Linked DNA regions of Astyanax mexicanus. The protein of the gene in region 2 interacts with the protein of the main gene of each other region in a biochemical or structural test. Links are inferred from orthologs where the notes say so. Each region holds a gene or a part of one and is shown on either strand. Other genes may lie near its edges.

Region 1 (7,871 bases), on a different chromosome or scaffold from region 2:
ATCAATTGGTCAAACTTCCAACAACTGATGGCATAAGCTTCTGTTTGGCACTGTTAAGACAAGACTGTGGATAAGACTACAGACACCACTTTTTAGACTCTTTTAAACTCATTTTAAACATAATACATACACCATCACAAAGTCCAAGTCCACATCCAAAAGTTTATCACTCTTATAGTCACATATCTTGAAGTGGTGGCCATCCTTCCTTCCAATAGAAAACTAATAGACTCAGCAGCTTTCACCCTCAAGCAAAATCTAACACCTGACTCTGTTAATCAAAAAACATCTCAATAATTCAATTATTCATGGGGAAGTTAAATGACAATGGTTGATGCTAAAGTCTGGGTAGATCTCAAAGAGCAGGTGATGTGAATGACCTCTGCCTTGGTCAGGCAGTTGTTACTAAGCAATTCTAAGCTGTTCATAGCAGTTACTGAGTAATAAGCCATTCTGGTTAATAACAATAATGAATAATGAGCCAACAGCAGGGGTGTCAACTTCAGATCCTGGAGGGTCAGACGTCTGCTGAGATTTGTTTCCATCGTGCTGCCATCCTGTGCCACTCTGGACTTACTCAACTCTTGAAAAAAGATCATTGCTAATCAGCTGATGAGCTGTCTTCCCAGACATGTTAACTCCTTGAACCTGTTTACTGTTTGTTAAGCTTGTTGTAAGCTTAAGACTAAATATTTTCTTAGCGATTACACTCGTAATGATAAATGTGATGCTACTAAATATTAAAGATCCTTTGTGTTCTACTAAAAAGCCATGTGTTCAAATGTATACTAAAGAACCTTTCACTAACACATCCTATAGCAGTGATTCTCACAGAAGTCTTGATGGTTTTCAATGGTTACAACACAGCAATGGAGCAATGTGAGAACAGTCTACTTGTCCCCAAAGTCTAGTTTGACCACCAAAACCAAAAGGAACCAAAAGTAAATGTTTCTTAAACAAAATTGCGGAAAGAAGACTTTCAAATAACTTTATTTGAGATAGTTTTATTAATGTTGGTTATTTTAGAACTACATGGAAACTATGCCCAAGTAGTTATTATAGTGGTGGCCTCAACGGAGGCCTCAAAACATGAGGCCTAAACTCTGCAGAGCTGCAGCCCTCCAAGACTCAAGCCTGACACCCCTGCCACAGAGTTCAGGAGATTGAAGCTAAAGAACCTGCTTCAGCAAAACAGGCCGCCACTCACCAGACCACACCGAAGGCTCCGTATCCAATGGGCCTGTCCGGCTCGATGTCCAGTTGCTGCTGCAAGTGGTGAGCATGCTGATGGTGGTGATGATGCGCCTTGACTGCCGCAGCGGCCGCCGCCTGGACCTGAGCTGGGGCTGCAGCCGCCGCCGGGCCAGGGGCTTGTCCGGGAGCAGGCGAAGGGAAGTACGGCTGTTGCTGGCTCGGGTTCAGCATGACTGCAGCCGCCGCAGCCGCGGCCGAGGCGTGCTGCTGTTGCACAGGGTGCACGGCCGCAGCCGAGCCAGGGTGCTGCAGGTGGTGCTGGCCCGGGTGGTGGTGATGGTGCAGGTGAGGAGGCGGAAGGTGTGGCAGTTGGTGGTGGTGGTGAGGGTGATGGGCCGCCACGGCCGAGGCGCCGCCACTGTACGCAGCCATCATTTTTGCGGCATTGGTCGCCGTCGTCCCGCAAAGAGCCATTCACTCAACAGCCAGAGGAAGAGAGGGAAAGCGAAAAGAAAGGAAGAGAAAAACAAAACTAAAGAGAAAGGGGACAAGAGCGAAAATGGGGTCTCCTGAAAGATCAAACAGGCGAAGAGATGGAAGAGGCCTAGCCTAGATCATTGGCCTGCTATCTATCCAATGGATGGACATATCCAAACAAAAATGCTTGGAGTAGAGCAAAGTAAGTGTGACAAGTGTGAAAAGATGTTGAGTGACAAGACTAGATTTGAGTGGCTTTAACATGAGTGCACCAGCTCTGTCTCTCTCTCTCTTTCCCTCTCTCTCAGCTCTCATAAAGTCAACTCCATGCTTCAGCTAAGCTAGCTATCTTCCATTTGATCTGACCTACTTCTGGGAAATGCGCTTTGCTCTCTTATGGCCAGGCAGGCACTACAAATTTCCCACAATCAGACCACAATCACAACTGCACATTCAGAAAAAGCCTGAACAGCTAAAAAAAGCAAGGAAATGAAAGAGAAAGAAGAATGAAAGAAAATAAATGTTGATGATGATGGTGATGATGATGATGTGACTAACAAAAATCCCACTCCCCCCTCAGTCCAGAGATCCTGTATGGCCTTAAATCTCCCTCATGTTGGAGGTAAGAAAGCTCTCCACTCTCCAAACAACCTGAGGCCCTTGTTTCCCTCCTTTTATCTCCTGTTTAAGAGTGAGAAGGTTGAAACTGAATGTGGTGGGTTAAGTGGGGAATGCAACCTTCATCTTTTAGACTTCTTCACATTGGCCATGTTGGCTGGTCCGGAGCCGAGGCTGCTTCCACGGCCGGAGGCTGCATGCAGTGTTTTTGGAGTCAGTGAAGAAGTTAGCACTGGATTCTCGCCCAAGGCCAGCACCTCCACAACCAGCACGGAGCTCTGGTGCTCGCTAGGCGGCTGAGATCACTCTGTTTCGGGGCAGAAAGTGGACCAAACCCCCTCCATATATGCAGCTATTCCTGCTTCTGGGTTAGAGCTAGGAGAGGCTGGCTGGCTGGCAGGGTGGATGGATACGACAGGTACTCCTGAACAGCTGTAGCTGTAAATCTCGCTGCTTCTCCTTTTCCCAAACGTCAAAATCGAAGCCCCCGAAGCCCCTCCGGTCCCCAAGCCCCCATCGCGTCGACGAAACAAGCCGAATCACCCCTTCTCCTCCCCGGAGCGAAGAACACAAATTCTTCCGGAGCCAGTCAACTTATTTTCTCCATCGACTCCTCCGGCGTGAGGCAGCTAACCCTACACTGCTGTTCCTTCCAGACACCCTGGCATAAATCCGCTCCAGGAAAACAGATCCACAGCTCCGCGCACCGCGGAGGAATCGCGCAGCCACAGCCGGACCCCGCTGCTGCTGCTGCCGCCTGGACGTTAAGGCAACACGCGCCCGAGCCTGAGCTTCTTCAGACCAACCGTCGACTCCCCCCCTCCCCTTATGACTGACGCCCGTGACCGACGTCCATTCTGACCAACCGCGTCGCGACCCAGCCACCCTCAACCAATCACAGCGCGCCGCTCTCGCCTCTAATGCGGGCTTGCAGCCAATGGGCGGAAGGGGGCGGAAACAGGCGAGCGACCCCAGCAGCAAAACAAAGTGGGGCCTGTTGCCTGTGAAACGGACGCCATTACGGCAAGAGAGAGCCGGTGTTCTGTCAAGTTGCACTACCCGTCAAAATCTGCTGCTTAGAGGCCGTGCGCATGCGCCGACTCACATGTTTGAAAAAGGTTTTTTAATGTGGATTTTTTATGATAAAAATCATTAATAAAAATAACCTATACTTTTCATCGCTTGCATAAAATAATATAAGCTTACTGTAACTATTTCCTTGAGGTTAAAATAAAATTAAAGCAAATTAAAAACAAACATAAAAAAGCTTAGTTTCGTTTTTTTTTTTTTTTTTTTTGAGCGTATATTTCCCTGATGCACTTATTTTGGCCATATAAAATCCAGCTATACTTCTGCTGGGAGTATGTAAGATATGGTGCTTCTAAACGTTTTAAACGGAAACCAGAACGTATTTTTCTTTTCCATACTGTTTGTTTTACCTAGGCAGCTCTACCTATAAATAGAGCTTCGCTGTCGAAGCACGTTTTGACAGGGTAGCACAAATCGGCACAACACAGGCCAGCGCCGGGGGAGCGGACGGGCCAAACCAACCCAAATGGCCGAGCTGGAGCTCCGCTCTGCCCGCTGCAGATCAAGCGGAGGCAAATAATAAAATAATTAAATTGAGCAGTTATTCAGCCCGCCGCTGAACGGCCTCTCTGGGCTGGGAATGACTGCCACCATCCGCCGGCAGGTTACTGCCCCAGGCGTGCAGCCGCCGGGGTAAAGGTACAGGCGGCGGTAAAGTTTGGGTTTGGGGTCAGGTGAACTTTCTCATCCAGCACCTTCCTAAAGTAATCGTAAAAAAATCGCCTAACTCATATTTTCAAGTTTTTTTTTATAGGAAATACATAAACATTAGACATTTAAAAATAAGCAATGGTTTAAGAGGATATTTTATCATACAGTCAAGCAGTTCAATCCTAAATCCTGAATTCTAAAAATATTGATTTAAAAATCAGAAAACATTTTAACAGCCACTTCTAGAATACTTCTAGCTTTATGGAATTGACTGCTGACTAAAATCCAAACTAAAAATACAGAAAAAAAAATAAATAATAAAAAATAAACCTCAATAATGAGACTAAAATGTATTCATAAAAAGTAAACTTTATATAATAGTAAAACTCTCATCACTTACTAGGTGGGGATGTTGGAAAATTAGATCAGTGAAGGGAGCTGCCATCTTTTTTAGGCATAATTTACTAGCTTAAGTCACACTCTTTGCATTCCTAAAACTGAGAGTATAGGGGATTTTACCACAGGTGGCTAGTGTCATGAGGAGATGATTTAGAGAGAAAAAATCAATAAAATTTGTCAAAAGAATTTTGATTATTCTGGGAAGGTGAGCTTACAAATCTAAAACAGTATCTGTATAAATAGTCACTTGAGATATATATAGGCTGGAGCCTGTCCCAGCAGGCATCGGACGGAAGGCAGGATACACCCTGGACAGGCCGCCAATCCATCGCAGGGCAGACAGACACAGACAGACAAACAGACACATTCACTCACACACTCACACCTAAGGGGCAATTTCAATCAAGTTCCAATTAGTCTGAACGTGCCGTCCTTGGACTGTGGGAGGAAACCAGAGAACCTGGAGGAAACCCACGCAGACACGGGGAGAACGTGCAAACTCCACACAGGAAGACCCGGGTTGCCCCAGCCGGGAATCAAACGTCTTGCTGTGAGGCGGAAATGCTACCCACTGCGCCACCGTGCCGCCCATATATATATATATATATATATATATATATATATATATATATATATATATATATATATATTTATTATTAATAAATATATATTTATAATGATCTGTGGAAAGTGACTAACTGCATTTTAACAAAGAAAACACGCATGATTAATTATTTTTGCTTGTTTATCATATACTTGCATTTTTCAGATTAAAAAGCACATTTATTGTCTGGCAAAGATAACCTAAGTAAATATAAAATCACTTTTAAATCATCATTTAATTTGATATGGGTAAAAAATCTATCCAAATCAACATGGCCCTTTGTAAAAAAGTATTTTCACCTAAACCTAACGACTTGGTTGTGCGCTGTTTGCCATCAAGTGTTTGTGATAACTGGCAATGAGTCTTTCACACTCTGTGGAAGAATTCTGGCCCACAGCATCTCAATCAGACTCTGACCCCAAAACATTGTTGTGGTGGTGTGCTTTTTATCATTGTCCTGCTGCAGAACCCAAATACACCTGAGCTTAACGTCATGAACCGATGGCCGAGATTTTCCTTCAGGAGTTTCTGGTAGAGCAGAATTCATGGTTCCATCTATTACAGCAAGTTGTCCAGGTCTTAAAGCAGCAAAGCAGCCCCAGACCATCACACTACCACCATCGTGTTTTTAGTATGATGTAACAGGACTCACACATTCCAAAAAGTTCCACTTTTGTCTCACCAGCTCACAGAATATTTTCCCAAAAAAATGGGGAGTATCTCACATTTGTTGGCAAATATGAAACAGGCCTTTAGATGTTGTTCTGGATGAGTTGTTCATGCCCTTTTGGAGTAATTTTGGTAGATTAATCACTCCTGAAGAGGTTCACCACTGATCATTTCAATTGCTTTTACACATACAGCCAAATATGTTTGAATATTTTTTTTCCTTAGTTAATTTAAAAAGCGCTTTTGTTTGACAGTCTGAAAAATAAGTATGACAAAAAAGGCAAAAACAAAAGGTGGCAAATAGCACATTATGTCTACACAGTTCTGTACAGTCTCCACCCTGTGCACAGAATATTACTTGTTTGTGTAAAGCAAATAGACCAATTACAGTTTTTCAAAACACTTTTAATGCAGCGTCTACATGACTTAATATCACACATTCTTTTCTTTTATAGAAATTGTGTCATTACAGTTACGGGTGCCACCTGCAGTTGAAAGCATTTTTCTGTCAGAGCATTAAGCAGCGAAACTAATTCAAGGTGAGACACTGTGGGGAAAAAAAGAACCTCAGGAACGGCAACTGTTGTACGTTTCTCATTAAATACAGGCACTATTTAAAACAAAGCAATTAATCCCATGCCCAGGCTTAAATTAAGGGCCATGTCCTCCTTTAAGCACAGGCCTAGTTCTTATAGATGAGTGTATCATGCTCTACATCAAACGCTGCCAGTGCGTGTCACCTGCGGGTGTGGGCTAACTGAAGCTCTGGGAAGACCTGGAAGTCAGGCTTCATCACCATTGTCCACAGAGATGATCAAACTGCTCTGAGCTCATTCCTCAAACAGGAATAACGAGCTGCCAGCCTTTCTGACCTGATGACTCAAAGCTCACAATATGCTTTATAGCAGTCATGCAGTGTTCAATTATTTAAAGATCAAAGCTGACTCATCGGTATTCAGTTATTAGAGGCCTAGAGTTATTAATGTCATTTTTATGGGGTTATTAACTTGTTAGAAAGCTTTTATTAAATGAAATAAAATGAAATGTAGTTATGTAACACTTTTTTAATATGTTTTATATGTTGTTGCAAAGCATCTCGACATAAATCTGTAATATGAGAAAAGATTGAACACGGGGACCCATCCTCCTTTGGTCAAAATTGCTGTACTGATATAGTCATAGTAGTGTGGTGGTAAGAATAATGAAAGTAATAGTGATGGTTGATAGTGGGAATATTAATAATAATTACAACTAAAATAGTAATACTTCATATTACTTATTCATATTACTTCATATTATCATAATTAATAGTCCATGTTAATCTTGTCAATTATAAAGGGTGGCAACTAGTCCAGGTAGAGGCAGGTATAGCAGTAGCTGATTGGTGAACAGAAGGTAGCAGGATGACCTAATGAGAAAGGTAAATAGATAGAATTAGTTCTGAACACAGATGATAAGAGCATGGCAGATCTGACTCTAACATGCTAACTATTAGCTAATCAGGAAATAACTTACGTTCACATTACAAGCCAGATTTTTTGCTCAGATCAGATTTGGCTGTCTTGACAGTTCACATTCACAAATGTAAGTGAGCTGTATCTGTGTGTAATGTGAACGAATCTGTCCCTGAAATGGCTCACGTGTGCACATTGATACCTGTATAAACGTCTCCTTCCTCACCAACAACAACAAAAAACGTCATATTTGAGAGACGACTCGTAGCTTTAAAAAGGGAAATGATGAGTTAACATCTCATATGTGGAGCATCTATTGCTGGAGTGGAGAAACAGCAAACAGCTTGTCTGAAGTACATGCTCAGGTAGAGGAGTTGAAAAAAAGGCCAGGTGGTTTGCTTTTGCTGTTTTTTAGAGCTATAGCTGCACAGCTGCACCAAAAGATGTGTGGGTACGAGAGATAGCATGTAGCGCATGCGTAAAAGCAAAAAAGACACACTAATTCCAATTTGACCGTTCACATTCATGTCTCATGTCCATGGATCGAATATGTATCCGATTTAGAACCACATAGAAACCTGATTTGAAAAAAAACAACAAAAAAACAGATTTGGTACGTTTACACAGCCATGAAAAAATCTGATCTGAGCCGAATCAGATTTGAGTCACTTCAGCCTGGTAATGTGAATGTAGCCATAGACATGAGGGCACCCTGA
Region 2 (8,058 bases):
AGGAAGAGACAATACGGAGAAGGAGGGGGTAACAAGGGGCAGTGAAAGTAAGTGGGAAAAGGGGCAAATGAGGGGAGGGGAGGGCACAGAAAGAGAGAGTTAAAAAAGGGAAAGTGAAGAAAAGGAGGGGACTATGTTCAGTGTAATTAGTAAAAATGGCACAGATCTTTTTCTAATTTGTCTATATGTACACTTACATCCTTAATGAACATCTAAAAGTGCTTGTTTAAAACGCTTTGTTTTCTCAGAAAGGACACAGCACATGGACAACAATAGCTTGAGGGAGAGAGCGTGAACGTGCCTGACGGATGTTGGTATATTAAATCCAGCCCTGTCCCTTCATAGCATCATGTATAATAGAAAAATTAAGCGATAACAGTCAAAACAAAACCAGAAGTGGCTGAACCTGTACTGCCAGCAGGCTGAGAGAAACCTGTTCTGATGTTTTTGGTTTCCACAGATACGCTAAGTGTGAACACGGACTGAGAGTGTTTCCTCACCGCAGCGTGTTCAGACCTGTGCAGGTACTCTACAAAACTCACCTGGCCAGCTTTCAGCCAATTAGAATAATGCACAGCTTACGTGGAAGACGGAGCTGCCCTGGCCTTTGTGTCAGTGTTGTGTATATATACTGTATGTGTGTGTGTGTGAGCCTTGTGTTTATTATAACTACTTGGTGAACTGATCTACAGATAAGAAAATAGGAGCAGGACAATAGCCCCCTTTCTTCATGATGTTCACCCTATTTTTGGTTAACCTTTTGAACCCTAGGTTTGTTATTCTGTTATTAAACAGAATTCTTATTAAATTCAGAAACTTTTAAATTTGCAATTCATAATGTGGGGACAGTTTAGGCCCACAGGGCTTAATTTTAGGGTCTACTACATTGATGTAATTTATGACAGTATTGCTGCTATGAGGGAGAAGGCATGCTATCTTATGTCTTATCATATAATATATAGACAAGCTCACTCATTTTTCTGACCTCCACATTGTGTTTTCTTAAAAAAAAAAAAAAAAAAAAAAAAATATATATATATATATATATATATATATATATATATATATATATATATTTACATAAATGAGCCATGTGTAAACTTTTATTCCACTTGCAGTTTGTAAATATTCCCACTATTTAAAAGATTTCAGCTCTTCAACAGTGTGTAACTACATGTATTATATCAGTGGCATAAAATAGACTTTTAAAATCACAATACTCTTTTTTTTTACTCCAAATAGTTCTGACACAATATATCGTCCAAACAAACGTACACACACACACACACACGCGCGCAGCTTTGTCCTGCTAAGCTGCAGCACATCCTACCAGCACGGTGGTGGTGTTGGTGGTGGCTCGTGCACGGTGTCACTCGAGTCCATCACCCCGCGTGCGCTCGGCGTGCCGCGTTCCTTTGGCGGTTGGTTTAAAATGTGAAAGTTTAAATTTAAATTCTCGCTGCATTCTAAACCGTTACAGCTTTTTAAAAAATGTTAAACGTTTATTTTGTTCTGTTAACGAACGTAAATGTTATATATTAACGTTTTTAGCGTTACTTTCATTAAAGTGCAAGGTAACGTTAAGTTTGCAAGGTTATGCTTAAGTTTTAAAGCGATTTAAAGCATTACCAAGACTAAAATGAGACTAAAGATATGCTATTTCAGGTGACAATCGCAATTAAAGTGGAAAAACGTGCTTCTAAAATAGATTAAACAACAGGCAACACGTCTTCACTGCTTCAAATAAGTGTTAAATCATCACTTTCAGAGTCAAATTAAGCTACCGTTGGCTAATATGGTGAGTATTAGATAAAATGTTAACCTACATACATGGTGTTGATTTAGCATTAACATTTAACTAACGCTAAATGTTCTGGAATCCAACAAGTTAGTTAGCTACCTCATAGGCATAGCTTTCTTACCACAAGTCGTAACGCTCGTATTAATAGCTACCCAGATAGCAAAAAATGTTGAATCAATGTTCTAATGCAATGAAAAAAACGTTAGTCAACGTTAGTCTCCAAAGTCAGAATTTTATAATAATAATTATTAATATTTATGAGGAGCACCTGTTACCTTAAAGCACTGTACTGTGAGTGTACTGTAGTAGTTAGTTAGGTAGAGCCAAAACCCTTTAAAACCTTTAAATGAACGTTGCTTTAATGTCAGAAATTCCAAACATGAACATTAGCTAACTATGCCTATGTTAAATAAATATATATATTTTTTTCAATTTTTCCATCATCTAGCTAGCCATCTTAAAAATGTAGCTAGATAGGAAGGTTAATGCAACCAAAAAACGTAAACTAAACTAACGTTTACTCAACGTTCTCAATGCTAACTATCTATCAGGTGTATGAACGGACTCCACAGTATGGGAACTGACGTATAACCATCGTTATCCTCACGTGCATAGAAAGAGAGAGAAGAGAGAGCAAGGTTTACAGAATAGGCACGAGAAACTGAACGATGGCATGAATGAATGGCAGTGCGGGGGTCCGCAGCGCACGCGCCACGCCGGCCACTACAGCTCGCGCTAGCTAATCCACCTGTTACCAGCCAGCCCTCAACGCGCGAGCTGTCGAGCGCTCGAGCTCAGAGCCATGTGCCGCCGTGCACGAGCCGTTAGAGCTGCACTATTAACTAAGTTAGAAACTAACTATAAAACAGGCGAAAACGACAAACAAAGTTTTAGCAAAAGCTGAAATTAGAGTGGGTAAGAGACATAGAAACACACATAAAAAGATACAGAGAGAGAGAGAGGGGGGAAATGTAAAGAGTGTAACGCTAGCTTAATAATATCAATCGTTACTCATGCACGGTAACTGTAAGCAACTAAAAAAGCTGCGGTAACGTTAATTAACCCGGTTGCCGTTACCTGTGTCTCTTGAGCCTCGACATCCCGCTGCTCCGTGGAAGGTGGAGTGTGTGTGAGTGTGTGAGAGTGTGTGTGCTCTGCGCCTATAAGCTCCCAGAGGCTCCGCTTAGAGAAGGAAGTAGGCTGACATTAAGTTCACTACAAGCAGAGTGTAAACACACACACACTCACACGCGCGCGCGCACGCACACTCTAACATGCATGCATCAGACAAAAGCTGAGTTCCCTCCCGCTTAATTTGGCGCCTCTGGGCCGCGCATGCGCACGGAGGTTCCTGACGCACTCCTGTCACCCAGAGCGCCATTTAGCCCTCAGCTCGCGCTAAACTTTGTCTCTATTGTTTTTAAGCCTCTTTCGTTGATTTTCTGAGGTAAACCAGGGGTGAAAAGGGATATTTGATACGAAACAGTGTGTGTTCTGCAAATGTGGACTAGATATGCCAGCTTTTAAACACACGTGTCCCTGTTCTCAATAGCAACCGATTATATTATAACTAATGCACATAGTATTCACATTCATTACTCTGTAGGTAGAAGTATAGATATAAGGGTTTTAACATAAATACTTATGCAGTATCAATTCAAGCTTTTTGCTAATAAAGAAAAAGTGTAAAAATGCTGGTTTCAAAGCTACTTAAAGTATAATAGTAAAAGTAATGTACCAAAAAATTAAGTGCATTAAGGACAAAAGCTTAGGCCACACCACAAGGCCAGCAATTATCAACTGGTGGGACAGGATTTGTAAAAAAAAATACATGCTTTTTAAAAAATAATTAATGCTCATCTGATTTTTTTTCGTCTTCTATATTGGGGAAAAATGAAGGCAAATGATTAGGCAAATATCTAGTTTTGTGGCCTTATTTATTTTGTGCAGATCTGATATTTAATTTTATTGTAGTAACTTTTATACATGTAGTTGTCATGTTCCTCCTCAAATTAAAAATGCTCTTTTTTGCATGCATATGTATGTTTAAATAGGTTTTTGTATTCTATAAAAGTGGGTCGCAACTAAATGACCACAATTTGAAAATGTTGGCCCGGTCTGAGACCAGTTGAGAACACCTGCAGTACCTGTTTCAGCTGCATATATGCCCATTGAAATGGATGTAATTTAGTTTTATGTAAATATATTAAGGAAGCTTAGTTGGACGTTTGTCTCGAGCACGGATCATCTTCATACTAGGCTACATTTGTCTGCTTTGTTCTTGCTGGAGTGTGACGTGACGTGCAGGTACGATGAATCGCGTAAAAACCAATAAATCGGGTGCCGAAATGTTTATACTTCTGATTCAACCACAATTAAATTCACTCTATGTTCAAGAATGTTTTTTTTTTATGAAGAGAAACCGAGGCTATATTTAAGAAGTAGAAGGTACAGATAATCATGTGAAAATGGTAGGAGTAAAAGTGAAAAGTCTTCTGAAAAATAGTTACTCCAGTAGAGTAGATAACCAAAATGTCTACACAAGTAAGGTACTTGACACCTCTGAAGGTACTAGAGACCCAGACTTAAGTAAAAGCACCAGTGTCCTATCAAAAACAGAAATCAGTGAAAAGTTCTCAGAGTGAAAGGCAGAATGATTCCTAACATTTTTATAATTGTAACAAGTAACGATGCAGCACATGAATAAAAATGTAGTAGGAGAAAAAATAATACTCCAGTAGACGCAGATATTATTACTTTAGTATTTTAGTACTTCAGTACAGTAGTGAAGTAGTTGTACTATGTTACTATACATCTCTGATTATATTATACTTTTATTGTCCTACAGACTTTAGCTGAACTTAATACTGTATATTGACTGGCTGTCTGCAGTACAGCCTGTATCCGTCCACTCTCACTTTCACTTTAAGATAATTTTATGGTTTCAGTTGTCTTTTTTCTTTCAGTTTGCCCTTGCCCTTGGCTTGCCATTAGTCTAATCTAGTCTTAAGGTTTGGAAGCATATATAACATATATAGTATTAACCCTACATTGTTGCAGAACATAGCAATTAAATGAAAATGGTTCTAAAAAAAATTTACTTTGTCTTAGAGAAGTTATCTTATAGATCCTGTGAAGCTGACATGCAAAATATTTAGCCCCCTTTGCTCTGTGACTTTTATTACACCCTAAGGCTTACTAATTGGTAAATATATGCAAATACATGCAAAGTGGCTGAGTTATTCCTAAGTTAATGTATTGGGGAAAGCCAGAAACCACTGGTGGTTCTAAGTTTTTTTTTTCAGTAGCTTATAAGAAAACATCATGAACTTTGCCCTCACTGTGTTATTACACAATCATAAACTCTAGAATGTGCACACTGCTAAAATGAAAGATTACTAGAGTTATATTGGGAACCATTTCTAGTGTTCATTCTTTTATTACTGTAAACTGTAATCATTGAGTTAATATCTTTAATCTGATTGAATACAAATCATTGAGATTAATGTTTAGTCACTGTTTTTCATTGTAAACTTTACTAAAAACTGAACTAAACTCTGAATTAACGCTTTGAGTTGTATTGCTTTTTTAAGTTCTAGTGGTGATTCATTTTCTCACAGTAGACTGTAGTATTAACTTTAAAGTATGAGATCTAGTGATCACTGCTTTTTTCGGTGTAGGCTGTAAACATTGAGGTAAAAGTTGGAGTTACGTTTCTGATTTAAAGTCTTTAAACTGATTTTAACGTAAGTAAACTGTAAACTCTTAAGTGAAAAGAACATTTGTGAAAGATATTTGTTAGAATTTGAGTAAATTTCAATTGGCTTAAAAATAAGTAAACTGTACACAAGTTAATGTAGTGTATTACATGTTTCAGTGTACTTAATTGTCCCTTTGTCTTTTACACACACAAACACACCCACACACACACACATAGCAGATCTGTCGGAATCAGCAAAACCTGTAGGCCTGTGTTTTGTTCCCTCAGCTCTGTCTTGCTCTTATTTACTGTCATACTGTCACGGTCACTTATAATTACATCAGTCGGATTGGCCCATTGTCTCTGTCCACCGATGCTCATGTGGAGCGGAGCTCAGAAATGTGGCATTGTTGTGTCACCGCGTGGGCTGGACATGCTCTTCCATGCATTTCAACAAAAGGCGGGAGAATCTGGGGGGTGCTTGAGATTTTGAGGGGAGAAAACATGTTAGTTACAGACGGATTGCTTTGAATTGTTACTAAAATACAGAGATCAGGTTTCTGAAAGGAATCTGAGTAGTGTTAGACTGTCATTCTGTTAATGCTGGAGACAGCGTTACTGGGTTCCAGTCACTGTTGCACGTGTTCAGCAGATTATCAAACCAATAAAATACAGATTAATTAAGTTAATTCAATTACAGAACATTAGCATTTGGCAAATATTCTGTATATAAATACTATAAGGATAAAAAGAAGAGGAACACCTGCTATCTCATCGTTCCTTCCGAAGTTAAAAGTATTAAAAAAGTACTGTCCAGCAACAGCTTCTGCTAGCTTTTGCATAATTGCTATAAGGATTTGATTGCATTCATTAATAAAAGCTTTAGCGAAGTCATGACCCCACCTCATCCTAACACTCCAAGTCATTCAAAGGTTCCAGAGAACACAGTTCCAATTAGTTCTGCACCAGACATGAGGACAATGTTGGAGCCATTTCTTTGTTTTGGTTAAAGTTGTATTTTGTAGATGTGGATTTAACACTTCTATTTGTAGCATGTGAATATTTGTAGATTTTGTAATTTCTTTAATGTGATAATCTGATTGGCTACTAACTCCACTGTAAAAACATAATGACACATAGAAGACTCCAGAAGCCTCGAGCCAGGAGCATCACAGTCTTTCTACAGTCATGTAACTGTGTAAATTTATTTAGTTAGGAATTCATCATTTGTGTTGTATTTTGATAAGTTTATAGTAAAGATAAAACAATTAAGAAAAGTCAGTAACGAGTGCATTCATTAGAATGGACATCCACAAACGTTTGGATGTACAGTAGTGTATACTGTAATTGTATATATATTGAGCATAATCTGGACAGCATTAGGTGTAAAAGTCATCATGCATTACATAATACTTTCAAAGAAGCAAAGAAAAGCTTGCAATATCGACATCCTCTCACTTGAGCGGATATAGTAGAAATGGAATATGACTCAGTAATGACCTCTATGGAGAATAAGCTCATCTGTTGTGAATGTTAAGTTGTTAGAGTTCTCCTTCATTTCAGGTTGGTTTTAAATTGGAAATATATACATATAATACATTTAAAACAATATCAGGGCTGCTGAATTACTTACTTAATTGATTAGCCAATTAAAATCAAGGGCCTTCATTCACCACACATTAAAAATCATGTATATGAAGGACTGTACAAACATGTTGTCTTTCTTCTTGCTCGTATTTTGTTTTTCTTTTCCGTGGGCTCTCTCTTTCATGGATCTACTTTTTTATTTAGCCTTAGCTTATCTTAGCCAAGCCTAACCATGACGAGCATAGTGCTAAGTGTTTGTTTGTCACCAGCTAATTCTCCTAGTTTACAGCCTCTTGCAGCATTTTATTTATTTATTTATTTATTTGCTTTAACTTTAGCTTTTGGATTTTTTTTTTAATAATTTTTGTTTTGTACTTTGTGTGACGAAATCCCTCTCCTGGTTAAGAGTAGCATTACACATAGCTAGAGGCACACAACTTCTGTCTATGCTTTTGGACATACCATGTCACTAACAAGCTCCTCTTAGTATGTAATGCTGCAGGCTGGAACACAAAGAGGAGGGGGCAGTGGGCGGGGTACCTGCCAATCTATTTCGACTTCACCCAATAAGAAAATTGACCACTTTTTATTAAACCTGTTGCTCAAAATGATTACCTGCATGGTAAGCCTGGAAAGATTTAATTTAATTTGATAATCTGAGGCAATTTGTTCATCAATTAATTTGCACAATAACTATAACTTACATTGAATTTTATGGTCAGGTGAATTAACTAGATTTGTATTTATTCTTCTTTTAATTTCATTCAAGTAAAATAATCATAGAAAATTGATGGAGAAAGAAAATGCTATAGAGTGAACAGTATAGCATACTGCCAAAATGCTACGTTTGCAACTCATAAAAAATATGCTTGCTCTTACAGCCTACAACATAGACGCCAGACTGTTAATTCTGATATATGAGCTACAAGTTTATTTAAAGTAGCCTGGGGGGAATCACTACACACTGATG

The links.
Region 1: of the proteins of myb (region 2) and nlk2, one has a biochemical effect on the other in vitro, tested with the Homo sapiens proteins (2 studies listed by BioGRID, with this or other methods). The link is inferred for Astyanax mexicanus from reciprocal best matches to the Homo sapiens genes MYB and NLK.

What each region holds. Positions count from the first base shown.
Region 1 is NC_064425.1:29,108,568-29,116,438, forward strand, and holds the start of nlk2 (serine/threonine-protein kinase NLK), read right to left. Parts: upstream 3,134-7,871; 5' UTR 1,669-3,133; coding exon 1,208-1,668; intron 1-1,207. UniProt on the Homo sapiens protein: Serine/threonine-protein kinase that regulates a number of transcription factors with key roles in cell fate determination. Positive effector of the non-canonical Wnt signaling pathway, acting downstream of WNT5A, MAP3K7/TAK1 and HIPK2.
Region 2 is NC_064420.1:44,418,568-44,426,625, reverse strand, and holds the start of myb (transcriptional activator Myb), read right to left. Parts: upstream 3,056-8,058; 5' UTR 2,902-3,055; coding exon 2,879-2,901; intron 1-2,878. UniProt on the Homo sapiens protein: Transcriptional activator; DNA-binding protein that specifically recognize the sequence 5'-YAAC[GT]G-3'. Plays an important role in the control of proliferation and differentiation of hematopoietic progenitor cells.